2 linked regions of the Diceros bicornis minor genome follow. The protein of the gene in region 2 interacts with the protein of the main gene of each other region in a pairwise test. Links are inferred from orthologs where the notes say so. Each region holds a gene or a part of one and is shown on either strand. Other genes may lie near its edges.

Region 1 (7,125 bases), on a different chromosome or scaffold from region 2:
AGGGAGAAATGGAGCTCGGTGAGTACGAGGCCCCGGCTGGGGAGTGTGCGCCAAGGGGAGTCCACTCCTTGTCCTTCAATAGCTTGTATTTCTAATTCTGCACAGCCCCGTGGCCAGAAAGGGGCATTAGGATAAATTCTGAAGGAATTTGTCCAAGCTCTTTTATTTCTCTCAGAGTGTCTCTCTAGGAGGGCTTGTTGGAAATGAATGGATCCTTGGCTAGAGATTGGGCAAATCTCTGTTCTTTCCGGGTTTTGACTTAGTCTTGTTTCTCCACAAGTCGAGTGACCTTCCGGGCATCTGAGACCCAGTGCCAAGTCTCCCAAATTATTATTGCCCATTGACATCTATTTTCCACCTTACAGAAAGCGTAACAGTGGAACTCAAAGGAAGCAGGCAAGGCTAGAACGAGGTACCACATCCCACGTCCCCTGCAAGGGACAGGCAGGGGCCCTGGGCCTTCCCTCCGGCACATTATTCAATAAAACCTCAAGAGCTCAGTAATTACAGGCACTTTCAAAAGTGAAACAGAAATAGATCTAGGGCCAAAACATTGGTTTGCTTGAGACAAAGGGCCGGTTTTAACTAGGGGGAAAAAAAACCACTAGCTTTTGGTCTGTCTACTGAGCTGAGAAAGCCAGACTGATTTTCTTTTTTAATACTATTACCGAATCTGATTATGGGGAAGAGAGTAGGATTCAGATCAAAAGCCCTTTTCTCCTCTAGGACACAAAATCATTTTACGAAACAGAAAAAACAGGTTGCCTTCTAAGTGTGCCCCTGACACCAAATCAGGATGAAAAATTAGCTTTTTCAGCTGCCCCCGCCTGCCATCACCGCTGATATCTCAGGGCTCCGGTCCTGGCAGAAGACACACTGAAGGACCAAGCCAGAGGTTTCTACTCCTGTGTCATAAAAGCCTGCAAAGGATTCCAGTTTCCCTGAAAACAGCAACGGATGCACCTGATACTTGGAGTGCGTCTCATACCCACATGCAGCCTGCCCATGTCCCCATGCCCCTGCCCATTCCCAGCCAGCGCTCCATTTTGAGATCCTCCTGCACCATGAGGCTGGCTGCTCCCTTGGTGAAAGGTTATTTGTTTTTCCGACGGGAAAGGGTCCTGAGAGGAACAAACCACAGACACAGAGAGAAGGAATCACTGGCTCTGGCAGGAGGCGGCAGGGCAGCCCAAGCCAGCTGGCCCAGCTGGGTGTGAGCAAGCACTGCGGCGTGGCTGGCAGGACTCCTGAGTATGAATCGTGGTTAGAGCTGTGTGCATTCACTGCGGTTCAATGTTATGAGTACTAGGTTTCAAACTAAATATTTTAAAAATTACGGTGGGGGACTAGAATAAAGGGTCCCACGCGGATCTCAGCCTCCTGCATAAGGCTGATCTAAGGGGGGGATGGGCGGGGAGAGTTGGAGGGTGTCCAATGCCGATGGCCAAGGCAGGTCTCGCCGTCCTGACAAACACCCTCCTCTAGGAGGAATCCGTGTTGGCCCAGAGGAAAAGGGGTGGCCTTCAGCGTGACCAGGCCCGGGGTGGGGGATGCCCTGGGAGCCCGAGATCCGTCTCTGCGGCGAGCGCCACTTTCACACCTTGGCTCCCGGATTCCTCGAGCTGCACGCCCCGGGGTCTCGCACTTGTTGAACAAAAGGGATCCCGACTCCCGCAGCCACTGCCTTCGGCCAGGAGAGGGACCCGCTCGGGCGCCGGAGCCTTCGCGGCTGGAGAATGGCCGGCGCCCGGCGCTGCGCGCTCCTACACACCCGAGGCGGCGCCGCCGGGGACGCGCGGCGAGGAAGCGGCTCACCCGGCAGCCTAAACTTTCTCGAATCTCGGTGCTTAGCCGTTAAGTTAGGGCCCTGAGAAAGGCACAAACCACGCGCGGAGTGGGGGGATTATAAGATCACCACCCACGATAAAGAAAACAAAGATTTTTTAAAAAGAGAGACGCTAATTAATTAACGTAGCACTACTACGTGCCAGGCACTGGCCAAGAGCTATCTGGAGTGCGTTCTCATTTTAACTGTCACGACAGACCGCGAGGGAGGAACTGTCCCCATTCGATACAGAAGCAAACTGCAACCCGGGAAGATGGTGTGTCTGCCCCAGGTCGCAGTGCGGGTCACGGCGATGCCAGGGCTCCTAACTCCGGAGCTGGGCTCTGTCCATCGCTCCTCGGCATGGGAAGGAGGGAGTGGATGGCCGCCGCGCGGGTCCCCTGCCCTGGCCAGGGCACACAGGCGACCCACGTGGGCCTCGCGGACCTGGCCCCCTGCTCCCGAAGCTCGCGCCAGCCCCCTCGGATCCCAGCTGTCCCCCGGGGCTCTGGAGCTCCGCACTGCGCTGGCCGGCGGGGACCGGAGGCTCCGCGCGTAGGACTGGACCGCCCACGCCCACCCCGCCGCCCGCGCCCCACGCACAGCCGCTCACACACGACACCTGCCCCGCACCGGTCCCCACCAGCAACTGCGCCCCAACACCCAATTCCACAAACGCAGCCCAAAATGTGCACACCCAACTGCACACACGGATGCCTACGAGGACGCGCCATTCCAGGGACACACCACCGTCCTCGGTCACCCACAACTCCACCGCGCAGAGAAACACAGGCACCCCCCAACACACGCGCGCGCGCGCGCGCGCACACACACACACACACACACGCAGAGAGCCTGATCGCAGCGCACCCCAGTGCACACGCCCGCACTCCCTGTAGCCCCGCAGCCCGCCCCTTCCCTACCTGCTCCGGCGCAGGACGCGGTCCGCCGGCTTCCCGAGCTCAAGTTCGGCGCCGCCGGCGCTGAGGCGGGCGCGGGCCGCTGCCCGGGACGAGCGCGCCAAGGCCAGAAAGGGTGGCTAGGAGCGCGGGCCTCCGTGCGTCCGCAGCCGCCACGCCGGCCCTGCGCTCATCGCCCCCCAGAAAGACAAAAGGAAGCCGGCAGCGAGGGAAGGAGCAACGAGGAGGAGCCGGTCCGTCCGCCGCCCGCAGCCGCCGCGGCCCGCCTGCCAGCCGGGAGAAGGAAGGGACGCGAGGGCGGGACCCGGAGGCGGGGGCCGGGGGCGGGGCGCGCGGCCGGGGCGGGCACTCGGGGCCCCTGCGGACCGCCCCCGCCTCGACCACGCCCCCAGGCTTAGCCCCGCCCGCCGAGCGCCGCTGCGGTCAAGCCTCCGTCCCTGGCCACGCCCCCTGCTGGCCTGTTGGCGCCGGGCGTCTGCCCTTTCCACGCTGGCGCCTCGCTCCTCTTTATGCAGTCTCGGCCCAGTCGAAGCGCTGACCCGATCCCGCCCCGCGCGGATTTCGGGGCAGAGCGGAGCCGAGCACTGGTTCCGCCTCCCTAACCCTTGGCCTCTGGCCCGCGGGTGTGGGAGAGGCCCGGAGGCGGTGCCCGGGGTCCCGCTCCCCCGCCTCCTGTCCTCTGCAGGAAGTGCGGCCCGGGTGGCCCAGAAGGGGAAGAGGCCAGAGTCTCCCCGGGCCGCCTGCTTGGCCCCTCTGGCACTCCCACCCCCTGTCCGGTGAGCAGATACCAACAACCTTCCCGCCCTGGTTCAGGGAAGGAGCCCGGGGTCGGGAGGAGGGAGACCCGAGTTCCAGTTCTGGCTGCCTTTGCTAACTCTAGGCCATTTGGACAAGTCCCTTAGACTCCCTCGGTCTCGGTTTCCCCACCTCTAAAATGGACAGAAGGAGGAGCAGGCTTCTTCAGGCCCTTCCCTCCCTAACGTGCTGTGGGTCTTCAGTCTCTACTCGCTGGTTGACATCTCAGTCCCGGGTCAGGTGGCCTGGGTCTCAGGGAGAGGCAGAAGTGCTCCCTGCGGACTTCCTCCATCCCTCTGCGATGGCACTTGCATCAGAGGGCAGGAATCAGGGACTGTGCTTCCCAGGCCCTTCGATTTGGCAGCTCCTGAAAATCTGGGCCCTAGATACACAATATATACACACCCCCACCACTACCACCACCACCCACCCTAAACATCCCCAAAGAAAGGTAACCACAGAAACAGCCATAAATGTGGAGCTGGGCGATAGTGTTAGGCTGAGACAAACTGTCTTTCCAGCGTCTCTAGGGGAAAGCTCAAATCCTCCTCCACAAAAACTCCGTGAGTGAACTCCCACTCCACTGAAGGCTAGGGAAGAAATGGGAGTGCACGACCCTGGGGGGAGTTGGCTGGGGGCTGGCAGGCAAGGTGATCTGAGCCCAGACCCCTCCCTCTGCAGGCAAATGGCAAAAGCAAACCCAGAGGGAGTTAGTCTCCTGGTGGCCCTGCTGTGAGGATTAAATGCAATAATGACTGTGAGCATCAGCAGTACCAGGCTGTGGTGATGTCATACAGAGCCAGCTTGGGTACCTAGGGGCGCCATCTTTCCTTCTCAGCAGAGACCAGTGGCCAAGGTCATTGCGCAGGCTTCCTGCAGCACATCCACACAGAGGGTAGGGTTACAGCTAGGGAACCCTCAGTCAGATGCCCAGCCCAGGCGCATTAGCTGGTGACTGCAGAGACTGGATTAGTGGGGGTAGGTTATGTTCTGCTATGGTCACACATCCGACCCCACTTTTCACTTGGGTTGCATGCAGTTCACTGCAAATGGGAGGCCATGGGGAGGAGTCACACAGGCATTCAGGAACCCCAGCCTGTTCCATCTAGAAATTCTCCTACCCTCCTTCAGTGCTTCCGAGGCCTCCACTGGCCCCTCCACTTCCAGCCAGCAACAAGAGAGGAGAGAACACTAGCCTGGGGTCCCCGGGTCTTTAGGAGCCAGGCCTGGAAGAGGCACACATTACATCCACCTGCATTCACTGCCCAGAATTAGTGGCAAGGTCCCACCTGGAGGCAAGGGGTCTGGGAATTACGTCTTCCTGTGTGCCCAGGAGGAAACAGTCGCTTTTGTGAGTGCATCGCAGGGTCTCTCCCACAGAATCAGAGCACTCTTCTCCCAAGCTCAGTCACAGGGCCACAGATGTCCGCACAAAGCACCCTCATCATGGTTGTCAAGGCCTGAGCTATTGGTGGACACAGGCGGGAGGCAGGGGAGAGGATGAGAAAGCTCAAGAAATCGAAAAAGAATACTGAGGCAGTTCGTGGACCCGCCTCTCACGTGGACCTCACCCAGCATGACTCCTCCTCCCTGTAGATCTGAAACCTACCTGTTCCTCCAGCTCAGTTCAGCTCCCCCCTAGCCCTCCACCCTCTCGGCTCACGTGTACTCCCTTCTCTGAACGTCTAAGAAGGTGCGTGTCTCCCTCAGGAGAGATACAACCTGGTCTCTTCCCTTTGTGTCTACTGCTCCTTCAATACCCCTCGCGGAGCTTAGTGGAGGGAGAGCGTGAGGAGTTATTCGGCAAGTACTTTTGGATTTAATAAACTAAAGCAACTAAGAAAGCAAATTCGGGATGTAGGGTGTTATATTACAGATCTTCCTCGACTTACGACGAGGTTACATCCCCATAAATCCATTGTAAATTGAAAATATCGTAAGTTGAAAATATCATAAGTTGAAAATGCATTTAATACATCTAACCTGCTGAACATCGTAGCTTAGCCTGGCTGACCTTAAACATGCTCAGAACACTTAACCTTAGCCCACAGTTGGGCAAAATCATCTAACACAAAGACTATTTTATAATAAAGTGTTGAATATCTCATGTAATTTATTGAACACTGTACTGAAAGTGAAAAACAGAATTGTCGTGTGGTGCAGAATCATCGTAAGTGTATCGGTTGTTCAACCTCGTGACCACGGGGCTGACTGGGAGCTGCAGTTCACTGCCGCTGCCCAGCATCATGAGAGAGGATCACACCGCATATCACCAGCCTGGGAAAAGATCAACATTCAAAATTCAAAGTACGAGGGCCGGCCCCGTGGCTTAGCGGTTAAGTGCGTGCGCTCCGCTGCTGGCGGCCGGGGTTCGGATCCCGGGCGCGCGCTGACGCACCGCATCTCCGGCCATGCTGGGGCCGCATCCCACGTACAGCAGCTGGAAGGATGTACAGCTATGACATACAACTATCTACTGGGGCTTTGGGGGGAAAAAAATAAATAAATAATTATTAAAAAAAAAATTCAAGGTACGATTTCTACTGAGTGAATATCACTTTCAAACCATTGCATAGTTGAAAAATTGTCAAGTCAAAGAATCATGGTAAGTTGGGGACTGCCTGTACTTTCCTGGGGCTGCTGTAACAGAGTACCACAAACTGAGTGGCTTAAACGACAGACATGTATTGTCTCAGAGTTCTGGAGGCTGGAAGTCAGAGATTAAAGTGTCAGCAGGGTGTTCCTTCTGAAGGCTGTGAGGGAGACTGTTTCAGGCCCTCTCCTAGCTTCTGTAGCCCTGGGGATTTCTTGGCTCGTAGATGGCCATTTTCTCCTTGTGTCTTCACATCATCTTCCCTCTCTGTGCGTCTGTCTCTGTGTCCAAATTTCCCCTTTTTATAAGGACACCAGTCATATTGGATTAGAGTCCACCCTCATAACCTCATCTTAACTTGACAATCTGCAAAGACCCAATTCCAAATAAGGTCGTATTCACAGGTACCAGGAGTTAGGACTTCAACATCTTTATCGGGGAACAGTTCAACAAATGACAGGTGTCATGCTGTATATACAATTTGTCTTCCATATGATGACTGTGAACACTTAAGGACAGAAATAACTCTGATTATTCTTCATAATATCTGACTTAGTTTTATGACGTTACTGTTTTCAAGGCACTTTTACATATGCTGTCTCCAACATTCTTGAGATTATTCCCACATTTTACAGATGAGGACATCTACTCTTGGAGAAATGGAATGTCCAAGGTCACACATTAGAATCAGTGACAGCCAGGTATGAAAGCCAGACTCAATATCACTGAGCTGGGCCCACACGGGCTTTGGAAAAAATATTATTTTAAAAAATCATTTGTAGTACTTGGATGAACTTGAATGTTTACCCCACTAGGGAAGTTCTTTAAAATAAATGTGGTTTTAGCTCAAAGCCCGGTCCCGACTATTTGGGGAAGTGGAGGCCAACTTATTTCCAGGTCCTCTTTTGATTCTGTCACTTGGTTTCATTTGTAATTACAGAGGGGAGAAGTGTGGCTGCCGGGAATAGAGTGGGTGATGCTCCTCTGGTAGA
Region 2 (7,605 bases):
TGAGTTCCGATCCCAGGCGCAGACCTACTCCACTCACCAGCCATGCTGTGGCGGTGTACCACATACAAAACAGAGGAAGACTGGCACAGATAATAGCTCAGGGCTAATCTTCCTAAAGCAAAAAAAGAGGAGGATTGGCAATGGATGTTAGCTCAGGGAGAATCTTCCTCAGCCAAAAAAAAAAAGAAAAACCATTCAAGTTGTTAGGATATTCTCTTTAACACTCAACCTCATGGCAAAAACCACCAACTACCAAAACAACAAACAAAAAGGCAATAGCTGTAAAACAGTAGCATGATTTTACAAAGAAAGGGAGACAAAAGAATGAAAAGACACTTTGCATAATATATGCTATCTAGCACTCTGTGGTTAATCACATTTCAGTGAGATGGAATCCAGAATTTTGACCCACTGTTTTAATATTTCAAACTGTTGTTAGCAGTGTATACAATGACTGCTTTTGGAAAAGAAAATGGTTATCTAATCTAAATGCTCTAAAAAATGGACAAATTCTTTATTATAGAAGGCAAATAATGGAATGAAAATCTCAAATTCATTAATTCAAAGACGTAACAAGAGTACACTTACAAAAAAGTCTTTATTTCTCTGATTTTGATAGTATGTTTCTATTATAACATGCAAAGAAAACTGCAGCAAAGAGCATTAAGGGGAAAAAAAGTCTTTGGAAGACAGCAAGCCTCTCTACAGGAACACTTGTAAAGAGAATAAAAGCAGGTTCCATGGATTTCCCTTCATTTTTCACAAGCTTTTCTAATATTTCTTCTTTGATGAAACTAATGAATAACTGCCACTTATCACACATCTTCTTTCAGATATGTGCCTTATATATTGCTTTCTTCTGAAGAGACAGTTCTTCAAGCTGCTCAAGTCTTTCCGCTGCAGCAATTTTTCTTATTTCTATTATACTGCATTTCTTGCATGGAATAGCATAAAAACCAATTTAATAAACTCCTTTGCTTTCCAAAGACAGTTTCCAAAAGGCGACACTACTGCATCTTAATCAATATTTTAACTATCTTTTCCATTTAGCTCCACAATCTTTACTTACTGCAATAATTCCTAATACTATAGTTTAACAGTTTAATTTGTCAGGATGATATCATATTTCCTTCTATATTACATCAATATAGAAGACAGTGAACATTTTCTCTCTAATCAATTAATTAATACTTGCTTGAGGCAGTCCACATGTCCCCAGCCTTATAATAACAACAGACATTATTTTGTTCTGCCTTTTCAGCTACTGCAGAAATTTTGTAGTCTTTAAAAAGATAATTCATTGATTTTAGGGTCTCAGATCTTTTTTTTGTGTGTGTACAGAAGGTTAAAACATATATTTTTTCCCTTACTCTAACATTTGGTTTAAAACAGTTTCCAATAAACTCTAAACCAAATAGCTTTTTAAAAGAACTAGAATTAAAATAATTGCAAATTCTGAGGATAGATGAGGTAACAATCCCAAAGGAAAAAATATACAGGCCCTATTCTTTTAGAATTCTTGAAAGACATTTCAGTTCACTTGATATTCTAAAATTACTAAAGTTGTTGAGATTTTGTAAGCTCCAAATAGACTGATTCCTTCAGTACAGACACACACACCCAAGTATTGTGGTACTTGAAAACAGAAGCCAAGGAATCAAAGTTGAGTGTTTATTACCACTTTACATGTAGTTTCTTATAAAACACTGAGAATATAGGAAATATAGAAAGTTCTTTCTTACTCATCTTTCGTCCTTTGTGAGCCAATTTTTTCCCCTACTTAAAATCTGAGCTAAATCTCCTGATCCTGCCACCATGCTTTAAAACCACAAAGAGACACCATTTTTCAATCGATGCTGAATTTAATTACAAAGAGGGAAAATGTACTAAAGTATAACTTTCACAAATGCTACATGTAAGTTACATGTAAAATTTTTTAAGGCTGAGTTGTTTTCAGGCACAGGGCTGAACCTGTAGCCTGAACCTGTAGACCAATCAAGGTCTAAGAATTTAAGATAACAATCATATCAGTTAACGTAACACCAAGTGTTTGAATACCTCAGTATGATACTTTCACTCTGGTAAGGTGAAAATGCCTCGTAATTTACGTAAAATATTGAGTCTGTAATAAACCACCTCCTTAAAAGAGCAGCTGCAGAGTTACTGTGGCATGTCAAGGCAGACAACACTACTGTATCTCACCAGGTCAAGGTTGAACATGAGTAGGGGAGCAGGGGTGGGCAATTCATGAGTCACACAAGAAAGCACGTCTATCTTGCAGACCTGAGTGGAGAATTTTAACAACGGGTTTTGAATTCTTTGAAGAATGCGTTAAGAAAATTTTGTTGAGGAGGAAATTTTCCATCTTACACAAAACTCACATAAATTCTGGAGGCTGGTGATTATCACAACTTGGTGGAATAACCTAACTTTTCACATAAAACACAATCCCAAGGCTTTAAGATACCTTCTATGCAAACGGCAACAAGCATCACCTTATGAAGCCCCCGCCGGCACAGGAAGTGGTTTGGACCCCCCAAACCATCACCCTACCCCCACAGGAAGTGAGTTATGTTTCCCCCTCCCCCAGGAGGACCTTCCTCCCCTCCCCCAAACGGAAGTGAGGCGCCCCCATTCAGTCGGCCTCAAACCGAGACAAACCAATAACAACGGCAAAAGAGGGATGATCTTCAAGGGGTGAAGGGCACCTCCACTGTGGCCACCCGCAAGCTCGCCTTGCTTACTGACCTGCTGACGATAGGGACAGGCAAGGGCCCGGGGCCTAAAGAAAGCCCCTCACACAGGACAATTCCCTGAGCCCCTCTCAATCGCCTTCACTCTTCTCCCTCCGTCGTCTCACAGCATGACAAAAATTCCTCCGCAGTACTTTATTTTGATGTCCTTTCTTTCCCTTTACCTAACCGCTTAACCACCTTCCCATAGGCAACTTCTCTTATCGCAGTAACATTTAAAGTTGTTCCAGTGAAGAGAAAAATAAAGTATTGCTCCCGATACCTTCAGAAAAATGAAGGGATTATTTTGTTCAAATGCGGCGGACTACGTGATTACGCAAGGTGAGACTTATTTTCGCAGAGGTTTCTGGGAGATGTAGTTTTTTTAATTGCTAAGGCCTGAAGCAGGTATTGGGACTTAAATTGGTGATTAATATATACTAGAGTCTTTGAAAACACATATTTTGTATATGATGGCAGGCTGACCTGGGGGGCTCCGGCACTATATAGGCCAATACTTCGTTCCCCTTTTCTTCTGAAACTTAATTGAACCTAAATTTCCCTTCACGCCGCGGTCCTGGTCGTCCCGCCCTCTTCCTTTGGCCACGCCCTCCTGAGCCAATCAGGCGCCCTCTGGATCTCTTTCTCTGGAGGTAGGAACGCGAGAGGAGGGGCCTCCCAGTGACACCTCCTGCGCGGCTGAGGCGAGACCAGGGGGAGGGCCGAGGACCCGTGTGCGCGCGCGTGCTCGCTCCTCAAGGATCGCGGCGGCGAGTGCGCGCGCGGAGGGGTGGCGCGCGGGGCTGGGAGGAGGCGGGCAGGCTGGTGGGCTGGGCGGGCGGCGGGCGCCCGGGAGCGCGCGGTGGACTCGGCGGCGGCGAGTAGTTAGTTAGTTGTTGTTAGTGTCAGTTGCTCGGCGGCGGCGGCCGCGGTCACCAGGAAGGGGACGGGACGGCCGGTGATGGTGGTCCCCGCGGCGGCGTGTGCGCCCCTCAGGTAACCGGGGCAGGGCTGCCCGCGTCCCCTGCGTTCCCTCTTCTCTCGCGCCAGCTTGTGGGACCAGGGTCGCCGCTGGGTGAGGGCGCTGACCCGGGGGAATCCGGGCGGGGCGGCGCGGGGTCTGGGTGGCGCCGCCGCGGGGACTCGGATGGCCGGTGCGTCCGGCCCGGCGCGTGCTCTCCGGCTCCGGCCACCCCCGCGCCCGCCGCCCCCGGTCCCGCCGGCGCCGCGCGCCCCGCCGCCCCGGCTCCCGCCCCCTCCCTCGGCGGCGGCGGCGGCCCCGGTAGCTCGGCGCCCCCCAGAGGAGGGAAAGTTGGGACCTGGCGGCGAGGGACGCCCCCGGGCGCGGCTGGGAGGCTGCTTGGGGAAAGTGAAGCCTGGAGGAGCTGGACGCGGGGAGGCTGGTGCAGGAAGGGCGCCTCTCGCTGCTAAGTCTACACGGACACCCGGGTCCAAACCCGGGAGGATCCGGCGCAGCCTCGCCAGCAGCGCCAGGACGAAACCCGGTGGCTCTTTGCCTGCTCCCTTCGCGCTGCGGCTTGTGAGCCCCCTAAGTGCGGGTTTGCTCGGTGGTTTGGGGATTTTGAGAGGTTGGTTTGGTCGGTTTGTTTCTCCTTTGCCCTTTGCCTCATCTGTTCTTGCAACTTTTCTTACCTCCCGCGACGAGGACTTGCCGTCTGAACCCCCTTCTCTACCCCCCTCTCCCCGCGTCCCTTGCACCATCCGTCTGAGAGCTTGATTTCATTTTTCGTCCTTTGACTGCGTTAAAGACTGCTGAGAGCAACAGGAAAGAGGAGCCCTCCCACCTTTAAATGTTACTTGCTTGCAATCCGTTGTTTTTTTTAAAGATCTAAGTTTAGGAATTTGAGAGCTGTGGAATGGAGTTATTGGAAGGCTGGCGTTGAGGGGATAGTGACGAGTTAAAGGAAAACTATGATTTCATCTTTATTGGCCTTGCTATAGAAAACCTAATACTTTTTTTTTCTGCCTCTCTTAAATGTGGTAAGATTATACGTTGAATTAAATAGTTGGAGATTTACATAAAAGGCTATTTTTAGGTCACTAGATGATGTATGTCAGCTGCTTTTCACCTGAATTGGGATTGCCTTGAGGATGCTGTTTTGGGGCCTACCTACTGATTTTTGTTAAGCCACAATGTCTTTTTTTCCTGATAAATGAAGTGATGTAGTAATGTGTGTAGTCGGAGAACCCATATTGCTCTCCGAAGTGTGAAAGTGAAAAACATGAATTATCCTCAGGGGTAAAACTTTCTTTGAACAATCTTGGATACTTGCTTCATGATGGCTTCTCCTGTAATCGCAGAGCATTTCTAGATAGCTCAATTCACTGAGTACCTTAATTACTTTCTGAAGTGCCTGGCGTTTCTTCTCTTGGGTCACTCGTTTAGTAAACTATATAATGGCAGGTATGGTACATTTTCTTGGCTTCAAAGATGGGAGTTACAGTCTCAGCCTGGAGATTAACAGTTAACAATGGAAGCAGAATTCATACCATTGCTAGTGAGTTTTGGCTATGACCAACTCACAAACTATGTGAAAAAACAAACATCTTTCCGTCGCTGTCGGAGAGGAAGAGGGGCAAATATTTTATCATGTCTTTATTTTGGAGACTCTAACATGAGTATATTATGTGGGAAAAAATGTCGTTATTTTCTTTAAGACTTTTTGATGTGTGGTCCTCCTCTCTACTCCTTACCCCCCATTTAGGGGCTGACATTTATGTTTGGCTGGGTTCCAGGATGGGAAGAAAAGTATTTTGGCGAAAGGAAAAGATAAGATCGCTTTGAACTCTTGTGATACTATGACTATTCATTTTACCCAGTGTTAATATAGAGAAACTTCCTCAATCATGTTCGTACCCCATTAACATTCTGTCAGAATTCATTTTTAGGAGTCTATCCTGAGGCCCATAAAAAAATAATGCCACTTCATAACTGTTCCTGACAATCACATTAAAAAATGTGTTCCTGGAATGCATTATACGTGTACTCATATAAACATTTATCTTTGTAAATTTATGGTAATGTAAATATTTAAGTCTGAGAGCTTAAAAACTTTTATTTGCCTATTTGCATACATGTTTTTCAACATCTAGCAGTGCCAACCATATTTGCCAAATAAGCATCAGCCATAAATTCTTGTTTTGGCACATTTCATATAATAACTCTTCTAAATTGCTCCATGGTGAAGCATCATGAGATTAGCATTTGCTTCATGAGAGAGATTTGTTGTTGTTTTTAACTGTAATGATGTGCTGTTTAAGTGGAACAGGTGCTGGGCTCTAGCTGTTTGTGTTGAAACCTGCCAAATCATACTCTTTTGTTGGATGAGTTGTTTAAGTAATTTAGGAACCAGACTGTGGCCCCTGGCATGCCAAGTGTGAGTTCAAGGCTCCATATCACTGCTGCAAATCCCTATTTTTCACTGTAAGAGGCAAGTGTGTGTCATGAGCTTTATTTCCTCATTGCTGTTCTCTCTAATTCCCACTCCAGCACCCTAGTCCTTTTGTTGCTAGAGCTCCTGGAAAAGTCTAGGCTCCCTCACTGCTGGTTTGTTTTTCCTGGAGAACTAGAAATTCTAAATAACTTTCAGGCCAGGAATAGGTAATTCATCTTTGTTTGACAAATTTTTTGATTGCCTTTTAAGTGGTAGGCATGGTGGTAGGCCCTGAGTGTATGTAGAATGATAGTCCTTTTTGCAAGGATTGTCCAGTTTAGGAGGAGAAGATAGCTGATAATCAATAATTACAATGTGGTGTGATATAGACAGAGGTGTAAGCAGATTCCTATGGATGGGAAGCACAGAGGAGGGGTAGTTGACTAAGACTTGAGGTCTTGGGGTGGGGAAGTGTCCTGAAATGCATCTTAGTGGGTTATCTGAGCTAACCTTCAAAAATACATAGGAGTTAACTAGGTTCGGAGAGAGGGAAAGGACATTTTAGACAGTGCTGTCCTATAAAATTAGAATATGAGCCACAAATTTGTCACATATATATTTTAAAATTTTCTGGTAACCACGTTAAAAAAAGTAAAAAGTGAAATTAATTTTAATAATTTATTTTACCTGATATAGACAAAATGATATCATTTCAACATGTAATCAATATTAAAACGTGTATTATTCAGATATTTGATGTTCCGTTTTTCATACTAAGTCTTCAGAATCTGGTATGTATTTTACACTTACAACACATCTCAGTTTGCACTAACCACAGTCAAGCACTCAGTAGCCACAGGTAGACAGCACATTTTTAAAACAGGAGCTGATGAAGTCGTAAGAAGCCAGATCACTGAATGCCTTATGAACCAAGCTAAGGAGCTTTAACTTTATCCTGAGGCTGTGAGGGTTTAGTGGGGGAAAAAAATTATACTGTGATAGAATCAGGTTTGTGTTTTAGATCTATCATGCTGGCAGTGAAGTGAAGGCTGGATTAGAGAAGGGCAAAACTGGAAGCTGACCAGTTAAGAAGCCATTCCAGTTGAGAAATGATGAGGGATGTAGAAGAGGGGTGGATGTATGAGAGATTTAGGAAGTTTTATCAACAGGGTAAGTAATCAGATCATGGAGTTGAGCAAGATTGAAGATTTAGGATTAGTCCCACATTTCTGTTGTGAGCTCCTGAGTGAGCAGGCAACTGAAGAGAAGCCAACCAACCATCTGTGCCAGACAGACCAAAGATGAAAAAAGGAAACTATGAGAGATTTGTCACGGAAGCCGAGGGAGGAGACTATTTCAAGGACTAGGAGTGGTCAACACTGTATCCTGGATGAAAGGCCAAGTAAGATAAGGACTGAAGGAAGTCTAAGACTTGGTGATTAAGATGTCTTTTGTAACTTCAGCTAGAGCAGGTAGCT

Evidence for each region. The genes of interacting proteins can lie anywhere in the genome.
Region 1: the proteins of HMG20A (region 2) and HPCAL1 interact in binary tests that used the Homo sapiens proteins (3 or more experiments, as listed by UniProt). The two-hybrid records come from large-scale screens. The link is inferred for Diceros bicornis minor from reciprocal best matches to the Homo sapiens genes HMG20A and HPCAL1.

Annotation. Positions count from the first base shown.
Region 1 is NC_080751.1:69,874,486-69,881,610, forward strand, and holds the start of HPCAL1 (hippocalcin-like protein 1), read right to left. Parts: upstream 3,020-7,125; 5' UTR 2,749-3,019; intron 1-2,748. UniProt on the Homo sapiens protein: May be involved in the calcium-dependent regulation of rhodopsin phosphorylation.
Region 2 is NC_080744.1:68,859,904-68,867,508, forward strand, and holds the start of HMG20A (high mobility group protein 20A), read right to left. Parts: upstream 3,014-7,605; 5' UTR 2,749-3,013; intron 1-2,748. UniProt on the Homo sapiens protein: Plays a role in neuronal differentiation as chromatin-associated protein. Acts as inhibitor of HMG20B. Overcomes the repressive effects of the neuronal silencer REST and induces the activation of neuronal-specific genes.